3 linked regions of the Neurospora crassa OR74A genome follow. The protein of the gene in region 2 interacts with the protein of the main gene of each other region in a pairwise test. Links are inferred from orthologs where the notes say so. Each region holds a gene or a part of one and is shown on either strand. Other genes may lie near its edges.

What was found.
Region 1: the proteins of NCU03401 (region 2) and NCU02264 interact in binary tests that used the Saccharomyces cerevisiae proteins (3 or more experiments, as listed by UniProt). The link is inferred for Neurospora crassa OR74A from reciprocal best matches to the Saccharomyces cerevisiae genes GIM3 and PAC10.
Region 3: the proteins of NCU03401 (region 2) and NCU06941 interact in binary tests that used the Saccharomyces cerevisiae proteins (3 or more experiments, as listed by UniProt). The link is inferred for Neurospora crassa OR74A from reciprocal best matches to the Saccharomyces cerevisiae genes GIM3 and YKE2.

Annotation. Positions count from the first base shown.
Region 1 is NC_026507.1:3,135,818-3,139,843, forward strand, and holds NCU02264 (prefoldin subunit 3), read left to right. Parts: upstream 1-1,515; 5' UTR 1,516-1,542; coding exon 1,543-1,733; intron 1,734-2,000; coding exon 2,001-2,235; coding exon of another isoform or gene 2,236-2,367; exon of another isoform or gene 2,368-2,414; intron 2,415-2,497; coding exon 2,498-2,722; intron 2,723-2,804; coding exon 2,805-2,921; 3' UTR 2,922-3,505; downstream 3,506-4,026. Other genes in the region: period clock protein FRQ, read left to right, coding at 1-345. UniProt on the Saccharomyces cerevisiae protein: Binds specifically to cytosolic chaperonin (c-CPN) and transfers target proteins to it. Binds to nascent polypeptide chain and promotes folding in an environment in which there are many competing pathways for nonnative proteins.
Region 2 is NC_026502.1:844,814-847,861, reverse strand, and holds NCU03401 (hypothetical protein), read left to right. Parts: upstream 1-1,484; 5' UTR 1,485-1,521; coding exon 1,522-1,536; intron 1,537-1,598; coding exon 1,599-1,801; intron 1,802-1,859; coding exon 1,860-2,052; 3' UTR 2,053-2,407; downstream 2,408-3,048. Other genes in the region: NCU03400 (hypothetical protein), read right to left, coding at 267-293, 371-452, 512-543, 619-711. UniProt on the Saccharomyces cerevisiae protein: Binds specifically to cytosolic chaperonin (c-CPN) and transfers target proteins to it. Binds to nascent polypeptide chain and promotes folding in an environment in which there are many competing pathways for nonnative proteins.
Region 3 is NC_026507.1:844,154-847,588, reverse strand, and holds NCU06941 (prefoldin subunit 6), read left to right. Parts: upstream 1-1,551; 5' UTR 1,552-1,750; coding exon 1,751-1,814; intron 1,815-1,868; coding exon 1,869-1,939; intron 1,940-2,033; coding exon 2,034-2,158; intron 2,159-2,216; coding exon 2,217-2,337; 3' UTR 2,338-2,642; downstream 2,643-3,435. Other genes in the region: NCU06942 (vacuolar protein sorting-associated protein VPS4), read right to left, coding at 1-154, 232-884; NCU06940 (hypothetical protein), read right to left, coding at 2,643-3,319, 3,421-3,435. UniProt on the Saccharomyces cerevisiae protein: Binds specifically to cytosolic chaperonin (c-CPN) and transfers target proteins to it. Binds to nascent polypeptide chain and promotes folding in an environment in which there are many competing pathways for nonnative proteins.

The sequences.
Region 1 (4,026 bases), on a different chromosome or scaffold from region 2:
GAAGAAGTGGAGGAGGTGGAGGAAGATTCTTACTCTGAGGGGCAGATCTCGCGCCGAGCAAATCCTCATTTCTCGGACAACAACACGTACATGCGGAAGGACGATTTGGCGTTCGATACCGAGACTGATGTGCGGATGGACAGCGACGACAATCGCTTGTCGGACAGCGGCCACAACATGCGGGCGATGATGCCGCGGGCAGAAGCGGTGGATGGGGACGACAGCCCATTGGCAGCCGTCACCGGAAAAGAGGTGGACATGCTGCACACTGGCAGCTCGGTTGCAACCGCTGGTGGGGCAGAGAGTGGCTATAGTAGTTCGATGGAGGACGTCTCATCCTCGTGAGACCTGAGTGGGTATTTTTCCTATGTGAGAAGAAGACGCGGGGAGCATACGAGAGCAAAAGGAACGCATTGCGGCTGGTGTCAGGAAATCAGGTACCGGTGTTCTCGAATTTTTGGCTTTGGCGGGCAAGCGGGTTGTTTCGAGCGCGCGGGTTCTTGGCTTTTGCCATTTTCAGGGGAGTTGCAATTGTCGCTTTTCGGGGACTCGATACGCATGATGGATATCCAACGAAGGTGATTGCCGGGTGAGGGATCTGGATCCCATGAATGGGGCGGCCATGGGTGGTGGGTGGTGGGTGGAGGGAGGGGGTGTTGAGTTGGGGACTTTTTGGGGCGTCTGGGTTAGTGTTGTTTGGATTTCAAACGGTGTGGCTTTTGGGTTTTTTTCTCTGGCTATTTTTTTATGGGGGGTTTTATCTTTCTTCTTCATCTTTTTATTTCTGATATTTTTTTCTTGGCTTCCTTGTAGATGACTCCGTGTGCAGAAAAAAACATACCTGTTTTTTTAAATTCGTATCAACGATTCGCAGTAGTAGCAGAAGGCCGGTGACATCAGTCGCAACGGGTGCACCCGTAAAATAAGGATTGGACTTGGTGGTAGGTCTGATGGGGCATGTAGTGTATATAGGATTTCAAAGTGAATCGATCACTAGTCCCGGTTCGTTGTCTCCACGATGGCCTCGCTGCCGGAACGTTTTGATGATCGAGCGGTAATCGTGGATCCCTAGGTCGGGCGTAAGACCCTCAGCGCATTATCAGCAAGCCCCTGATTAATCCAACGCTGGGCGGGCTACACAGACAGTATCAGGGTCGTCATCACAGTCCAACGGTCGGTTGTTTGTTAGCATGGGTCTTCTGATGAAGCCATCGCCAGCAGTACCATAGCACACAAAAAGACATGTACAAATATCTCAATCCAGGAAAAGACACGTCAAAAAACGAGGGCTTCACATGATCGTTTTGATTCCAAGCCTTCCCGATCCAGTGAAGCACATATGCTTGGATTCACCCGCCCAGAAACTCCCTTGACTCAAGGTCTCTCACTACCTAACAAAACTTTCCAGAGGTGAATTGTACTGTACGCGGGCAGGGGCCTGCCCCACCTTAATGAAATCGATTCGACCGGACTCCTGGCTGCAGGCGGGGGAGCGAGCTCAGCGAGGTGCGGGCGGGCAAGTCAGCCCTTGGGGTTCCATCCATGACCATATCGCACCTACCTCTACCTACGGCCCTACCTACCTACGTAAACAACGAGCTCGGCGCCAACCGAGGCACGCAAGTGGAAGCTCCCCGCCTTGATCGGTCTTTTCCTTTCCCCCTTACAACCCGACATGTAAGGTCCATACTCAGAATGGCAACCAAAGGAAAAGAAGTAGAAACTGCGGGTCGGTAAGTCAGTCCCAGTTGAACTACCTACTTACCTTACCTTACCTTACCCTACCTTGGCCAAGCATCAGAGCTTATGTTGGTGGTGACAGGACAAAGCAACGTCTTGCCCCTCTTGAACGACGAGTCTCATGTCATCACCCCTAACTTCAACAGTCGGACATGGCTCGAAGTATTCCTCATTGCTAGCATAGCCTAGCCTAGCCTAGCCTACCTATAGAAACACAAAACAAGCTGACCTGCTGCTCCCGCGTTCCGCCAAACCTACAGTGATGCCACGCCCGCGAACCCCCGAGGTATCCCCCAGGCGCCCTTCGTCGACAAGGTCGAGGACTATGTCACGTCTCGCGCGGATGTCGAACCCACCCTGAGGCGGTTCCAAGAGTTGATTGCCAAGTACCAATTCATGGAGCAGAACCTCCAGCGACGGGTGGTGGGCTTGAAGGATAAGATGCCGGATATCCAGAAGACGCTGGACACGGTGCGGTTCCTGCAGATGAGAAAGGTACGACACACACACACGCACACACGCACACACACCTCCGTCTTCAGGGCACGCGAACATACGGGCTATACAGCTAGCTATACAGCGGGCACAATACCAAATGCGCCCGGGGCGGGGGGAAAGGGTAATTGAGAACCAAAGGTCAAGGACGAGCATGAACAACAAGGACGTGGATTGATGTATGGATGGATGGACGAAGATACGGTCGCACACGAACAAGACACGCTGACAAGATCACCTTTTTACTTTGTCTGTTTTACAGGACGAATCAGACCCGATCGAAACCACATTCGAGCTCAACGAGACTCTCTACGCCCAGGCCAAGATCCCACCCACGGACGAGGTGTACATCTGGCTCGGCGCCAACGTCATGCTGTCGTATCCCATTGAGGAGGCCGAGCAGCTGCTTGACTCGAAGCTCAAGGCGGCGACGCAGAGCTTGCAGAACTGCGAGGAGGATCTGGATTTCTTGAGAGAACAGATTACGGTACGTGTTGGGCGGAGAACGCGAAGATGGTAGTTCTGTTACCGATCTTGGAACCTTGACTGACCTGAACGATGCGCCATAGACGATGGAAGTTGCGGTTGCCAGAGTGTACAACTGGGACGTCGTGCAGAAGAGGAAAGAGAAGGAGGAGGAGGAGAAGACAAAAGGAAAGAAGAGCGAGACGGCGTCGGACGGTTGAAGAGGAGATTAGGTCTAATACAGAAAGCGAGGAGATAATGCACCATCACGAAATGCCATGGGAGCGAACGACGGTTGAAGAATGTCTAATAGAGGGAGGCCGGCCGAGGTTGCTGCTGGCCGCGATCATGTGAGACGAGGTTCACGATGGCTTGGTAAGTTGGACTTGATTTGAAAGCAACATGATAGCGAACGATACCTCACAGATATTCTGCGTCGTATTACGCTCAGTAGCCATTTGTTCACGAGACAAAGGAACAAGGGCCACGCAAGCGGTTTGTCGTTTTGGAGAGACTGAAGTGGGACTGGCGAGATGAGGTTCGCTCTGGCCTAGGTCAAGGCTACGACCTCGAGAGATTAAAGAGAATTTGAGTTTGGCGGCCTCCAACGCCCATAGCCTCATGATCAAGGCACGATGATGACTTTTTATATTTCCCGCCCGGGTTCTTGGTTGTGATGGAAGTTACTGTCTATCACTTGGCTACAAGAGAGATCGACGCTATGGCTCATTGTTTAGATTGTCACGATACCTACCGCAAACATACACCGAGATAGCCTTACAACGTTACCAAAAGCCAATCCGAGGAGATCACGTGGCTGAGGGGGCGAGTTTGTCTGGTTGAGTTGTAGTGTAGTCGCGGATCGATCGTCGCCATCGTTTATCAAGTGGTGTACATACCCAAGTCTTATCCAGTCGAGACAGTCAGATGGGCGGGGGGCCAATGCGCATGTAGGCAGGGCGCTCGGGCGGCCGTTGACCTGTCTGTTTCGCTGTCAGTGTTTTGTCAAAAGTGAGCCACCCCCGCCCCCCTGGAAACTGAAACCCCTATTTCGGGAGTGAGGAAGCACATCTGTGGTCTTGACCGCCATGACGACGGCATTCGTTTCGGAGACGGGGTCCCGAGTCTTTTGACTCTGTCTCTGTTTGGTACGGCGGCAGGCGAACGGCAGACCAGGCCCGACCTGAATACTGGATGAGGTGCCCTGCGCCAACAGCAGAAAGCAGCTTAGCGGATGGGGCCCCAACGTCGGGTCCCAAGCGGGCAGGCGGCCCCCAGGGGCAGGCGGAATCTCAGGGGCCCCGGCCCTCTGCAACGGAACCCCAA
Region 2 (3,048 bases):
CCATGAATTTTGATTTTACCATTATGTACGATGGATGTCGAGATGTCTTCCCCCGCACTCGATTCAACTTGTCATGTATGAGCCAACTGTTGTCACTACCTACATCCACGAATGAGGACGTGTACAAGTCCATGTATGCACTTGTACCCTATTGAAAACTGATAGGTCGTCGAAACCATGCTCCCGTTTGCTTCACCTCCAACGGGATCCCTTTGACGGTGGGGGTAACCAGCCCGTGTGTTGTCTAGGCGCAGTGTTGGAATTCCTCAACCCTTGAACTTGGCAAGAGTGTCCTATTGCAGCAAAATGTCAACAAAAGGGGGTCAAAAAAAAAGGGGGGGGCGTGGTTGTGGGGAAGAAGAAAACTGACCGCAGTGACTTTCTTGACACTCCGACCTGTGATGCCCCGTTCACCCCCTTGCTTGGCTTCGATGGTAGCCTCCTTCATGAGGCTGTCAGAGTGTGTGTTAGCGTGATACCGTTTCAGAAGGTGTGAGGAAGTGGTTCCTACGTTTGCATGAACAAAACATAATCGAGATAGATCTGCGACAAACACGATGTTAGTGCGACGCGTTGGATTTTGGGAATAGTGGCATTTTTATTGTTATCTTCGCTTACCATGACATCGACATTTTTGCTAACATTGCAGTTAGCGTGGGCCTTGACAATCTTCTTGACCGTTGCCCGCGGGTATGCTTTTTGGCCGGGCATATTTCCGCCCAGACTTCTTCTTGCAGTTGATTGAATATCGTGACAAGACCTAGGATATCCCCGATACCATGTCCTTTGCTGCTGTGAATAGGCCAACCGTGCCCGAGGTTGATGTTGATGGTCACTATCAGGGCAGATAGATGTGTTGTTTTGATGTTTTGGCGTTGCGCAGAGGACTTAGCACTAACACAGACGTTGTGACCAATCGGGTAGCAGAGCCCCAACCCCACCATGAAGTACAGTGAAAACCCTTGTAAGAGCAACCTTGTATATGAGCAACCCCCCCTGTATTTGCAACAGTATGGGCCAAAACTCTCTTTTTTATATGTGTAAGAGCAAACGAGTATACAGTAATAGTCTATTTAGTAATTTGCTCTAAAGTAAGGGTACTTCTCACCCAATTATAGCCTTGATACTACTTTATACCCGCTATTTACACACTTTTTACATTAGGGGATGGGGAGGTCTGGGCGCCAAGGCTTTCCTAGAAGTGCAGGTTTTGGTAGTATGGCCCGTGCACCCTACCCCAGCACCAGCAATCCCCCCTGTTTGAGCAATACTTGTGGCCGGATTTTTGGTGTTGCTCGTACTAGGGTACTGACTGTATGTACCTGGGTAGTACCCCCCCCCCCCCCCCCTGGCGTCGATGAACAGCTCCCGTCGCTGTGCCCCTGATGGATTCCAGGTGGGGTCAGACGGGAGCTTCGACGTCGCTTCGGTCGCTCCCTAGGTCGTCAGTCGTCACCACCCAACGACTCTATCTATGTACTGTACCGCTATCAAACATCACCAACCAACTCCACCGGCAAAATGAACCGTCGCATGGTAAGTCCTTGGTCCATAACATCTGCTCTCTCGCGCTCGTCGCTAACCACCCCTCAAAACAGTTGAGTAAAGAGGACGAGGAGGCGGCCGGCGACGAGATCGAGGTCCGTCGCGAGGACCAGGACAAGATCAACAGGTTCAGCCGATTGCACCAGCGCGAACTCGCCCTCGAAGAGGAGCTCAAGAACAAAAACAAGGAGAAGGAGGAACTCGACGACTTGGAAACCGAACTGGAGCTTGTCGAGGACGAGGACGAGCTTGTCCAGTAAGTTGCAACCGTCAGCACGACACGTAGCCAGACACATACTGAGACCCGACAACAGGTACAAGATTGGCGATTCCTTCTTCCACATTCCCCTCGAACAAGCCAAGGAGATGCTCGGCATCGCGGCTGCAAAACTCATCAAGGAGATCGAAGCCCTCGATGACAAGCTTGAAACCATCCGCAAGGAGATGACGGGGCTCAAGGTGGAATTGTACGCAAGATTTGGAAAGACAATCAACCTCGAGACATGAAGCCATGCCCGCAACCCATTTCGCCGGCTTACATCCCTTTCGATGAGTGTGAATAATGCTTCCGTGTACAACACTGGCAACAGTTCCATCGACCAGGGCTGAGCAGTCGCTACCAACTTAAACCACGTCAACAACATGATCAGACTCTTGGGCAAATTACTGGATATAACGTGCATGTTATGTCACTCAAAGTCCCTCAGGTAGAGAGGCCAGACTCGCCGGCAGGTCAAATGCCCAATGAAGCATATCTGCAGCTCGCAGCGCCTGTACTGCAAGCCGCTCGCTGCCGGGCCTCGGCCCTATCACCATATTCCACTGTCAACGGCTGGCTGTCAGTGGGAACCAAAAACACATTGTAAGCCTTTCTCCAAGTCAATACAGCAACTCGGTCCCGGCGCCCTTACCGTACTGACTGAAGCAGGTAATATAACTGATGTCAACCTGGGGCCTCGTAGACTTCTTATCTTGACCATCAATGCCGGAATATGCATTTGCTACTATTTGGATAATTGGAGATGCGAGAATCGCATGTCCCATGCGCTGAGATGTGCTTCAAGCAGGAACGGACTTGACGCCTTGCCGTCGCTTCAGCGATTTAAGATGTGCCAATCACCCGATCCTCGTCCTAATCACCTTACTCACTCTATCGAACGAAATTGTCGCCGCGGACGGCTTGCCTTAGTCCAGGACACGACCTCAGAATCGCCAGTCTCTAACCTGCGTTCACTGGCAGGGCCGGCCCATGGAATGCTGACCACTGTTCCCGTTGATCAGTACAGCTCGAGCCAAAATGCTGCCGACTTTCGAATGAGTTTTTTTTCTTGATGTCCATGACAGAGTTTCCTGAAGTCGATCTGGGAAAAAGGCCTGAGGCTGCAGACCGTGGCGAACAGACATATATATAGATATTGGCCCTCGACGTGCAAGTGACGATACCCCGGATCCAACCAGTTGGAAACAGCCACACCCACGGCTATGCTTCATCTCCGCAGGCCC
Region 3 (3,435 bases), on a different chromosome or scaffold from region 2:
GACACCGTCCATTTGGACCAAAAGTTCGGTTTTTATCCTGCGCGAGGCTTCCGACTCGCCTTCACCGCGCGGACCGCAGAGGGCGTCGATCTCGTCGATGAAGATAATGGAGGGCTTGTTTTCTCGGGCCATGGCGAAGAGTTGCTTTACTAGACTGTTTTTTGTTGGAAAATCGTTAGCTTCTCAGTCACGATAGTGGCATAAGGACAGAGACAACAGGACAAAACATACCGTTCACTCTCACCCATCCACTTGCTCACCAAATCCGAGCTGCTCACGCTGAAGAACGTGCTCTTCGCCTCTGTCGCCACTGCCTTGGCCAAATAACTCTTTCCTGTTCCCGGTGGGCCATACAGCAAAATACCCTTCCACGGCTGCCTCTTCCCCTGGAACAGATGCGGGAACTTGATTGGCAACAAGACCGCCTCCTTGAGGGCCTCCTTGGCACCCTCTAGACCAGCCACATCATCCCAGCTGATGTTCGGCCGTTCCTGCAGAATCGCGCCCGCCAACGCACTTCTCAGCTTCTTGCTATCCTCATCCAACGCTTCTCCATTGCCATTACCGTCCTCCCCGGCCTCCTTCCCCTTCCCCGTCCCGCCCGTCGAACCCCCGTTCGCGCCCACCATCCCGGGCTTCTTCCGCTTCGCTTCCGCGTCCGCCAGGTGCGCTTTGAGCTTCTCGGCCCGGTCCATGTACTCGCCCGTCTTGGCCCGGATCATCTCCTTGGATTTCGGGTTCTTCTCCCATTTTAGGGCGAGCATGAAGAGTTCGAGCGATTGGTAGTACAGCTGGTAGGCTTTGTCGTACTGGGCGGCGTTGTCGGCTTCGATGGCTTTGCGCACTTGCTCGATGGCGCGGCCGAGGAAGTCGGTATTGGACATTTTGTGCGGCGGCGGCTCGAAGCGTGTAAAGTGATGTCGCGTGAATTCGTGGTTTAGTCGAGTGTAGGATTGGTCGCTCTTCTTGGTACGCCGTAGTAAGCGTTTGTAGTCGTTATACTTGTTTGCTTCTTCGCTCGGACAAGGAGAGTTTGTTGATATTCGCGCGCCGAGGTTCGAAGTCAATGTCAACAGATGGCCATATGCGAGGGAGGAGACCCGTTGATGACGACTGCTGTTGTCCTAGGCTACGGCAACGAGAGTGGCAGAGATAAGGTGAAGAGAAATCGGGAATTGGTCGTATCTTGCGGGCGTCACCTGGCAACGACTACGGCAAGACTGTCTTCTGGCACAAAAAAGTTGGTGTCGCGCCCTGGTCTGAGGTGGAATTGGAGAGGGGAAGATCGTTGGTGGTCTTGTCCATATCTTGGTTAGTTTCAAGCAACGAGGTCGACTTGTCTTGGCCGTTGACCTGGAAGCGCTAGCGTAGCGCGGGGTCCTGTTATGGTTCCCGGCCTGGGGGCCACTGACGCCACTTGTTTGCGCGTGGAGAGAGCGCTGGTCTGGGGCTGTTAGTACTTTGCTTGAGGATACACTCCTGCACTAACAGCTAAAGCTTGGGCACTGACTTTGGGATCTGCTCAGCTCACCCCTGACGATTGACTGCACAGCGAGCTCAGTTCCCCGGAATAGAAACCTCCAAATTCCCCATACTGGAGCTCATCTGTGTTTCTTGTTCCTGCATTTTGATCCATCATCTTCCCTCCCTCACTGTGTCCAAACCCTTTTTCAGTTTTCGAACGTCATCGCCTAGTAACTTTTCAGCATAACCCTGTCTCTCACTTCACATCACCCTCAAAGAAGCAGCCATGGCCAGCCCCCTCCAACTAAAGCTCCAAGCTCTCTCTGATGAGTATCAAAACCTGAACAAAGGTGAGCCCCCCTTATGATGATATCCCCGTAGTTCATTCACTAACTGTACCTCAGAACTCCAAGAGACTGTTCTCGCCAGACAGAAGCTCGAGGCTCAGAAGCAGGAAAACGTCAGCGTGCAAAATGTCAGCTTTTCTCCAAGCATCGCGCTCGCATGCCCAATGCCTTTCGCCAAATTCTGCCCAAGGAAAAAATGGGGACTAACTGAGCACCATGTAGGAGTTCGAGAAGCTCAAGGATGACGAGCAGATCTTCAAGCTAGTGGGCCCGGTGCTGCTCAAGCAGGACAAGATGGATGCAGAGAACACAGTCAAGGGTAGACTGGAGTTCATCAGCAAGGAGATGTAAGTTGAACTGCTGCATGGGATCTTGAGTTACAACGCAACTGACCCACTGTCACAGCACTCGCTTGGAGGGAGTCATCAAGGAGACACAGGGCAAGATTGAGAAGAAGAGGACAGAGATCATTCAGGTCCAGACGAGCGCCCAGGCTGGTGGTGCCCCTCAGGCCGTCAAGGCTTAGACCTAATGAAATCAGTTACGGAAAGAATGTCCACTATACCCAATCGAGATCAGGCGCAGGTACGATTCATCACACAGCGCTCCGGGGAAACTGTCTCGTGAATGCAGTCATAGGTCGATTTCTTTACCAAACGGTAATTATTACGTGATGTATTCATTGAAGATTCCCCCAAGATACCCCTTGACGCCTTGCTCTAAAATCGCTGAATGGGGATAACCAAAACACAACTTACACCCCCCTTCTCCCTGACCCTTACTCATCCACCCACCGACAGACCGCAGCTTCTCATCCTGTCTAGTATAACCTCAGTTCAGCGCCATAATTGTGAACCCCCACGGCAGCCCCATATTCTTGCAACTTCGGCCACTAACCCATGCCACACTATCACTCGACAAATCCTCGCCCGCCGCATTCAGCGAGAGCAGACTACTCCCGCCCTGCTGGGACGCCCGATCCGGATCCTCCACCATTGCCACCACAAAGCTGACCAGCTCGTCTTTGGTATAACAATGGCTCAGCAAGGACGTCGCGCCGATACGATCCAGCATCGTTCTGCGCTGTTCGCTCTCGGCAAAGAGCTGGAGCTCCCTGGAGAGGAGACTGGTCGTCAAGTCTCCTGACCCAGAGTTTGCGAAAGCTGCAGAAGAAGAAGAACAAGCACGCAAGAGCCGCTCAAAAACCATGGCCATCCCCGCAACAGCTTGGACGAACAGCGTCACCTTGTCGTGGTCGTCTAGCCCAGCCTCGATGCGGAATTCCTTTTCGGTCACGAAGGCGAGGCAGGAGGTGTCGAAGATGGAGTTGAGGATACGGTCGAGGCTGGAGGGCTGGGAGAGGAGGGCATGACTGCCATCCGGGAGGGCGTAGGTGTTGGTGAATTGGACGAGGATCTGTTTGAGTAGGGTGGAGAGGCAGGTCTCAGGGGGGACAAGGAGACGGCCCTGTTCGAATAATAGGTTGTCGGCTGCTGCTTCGATGCTGGCTGTTTATGTAGGAAGATGGGGTGTTAGTTTGGGCGTGACGGACGTGAGGGCTGTGAGAGGAGGAGGAAAGGGCTGGGTGGAGGAGTTGTGGTGGACTTGCCTTGCATTGGGCTTA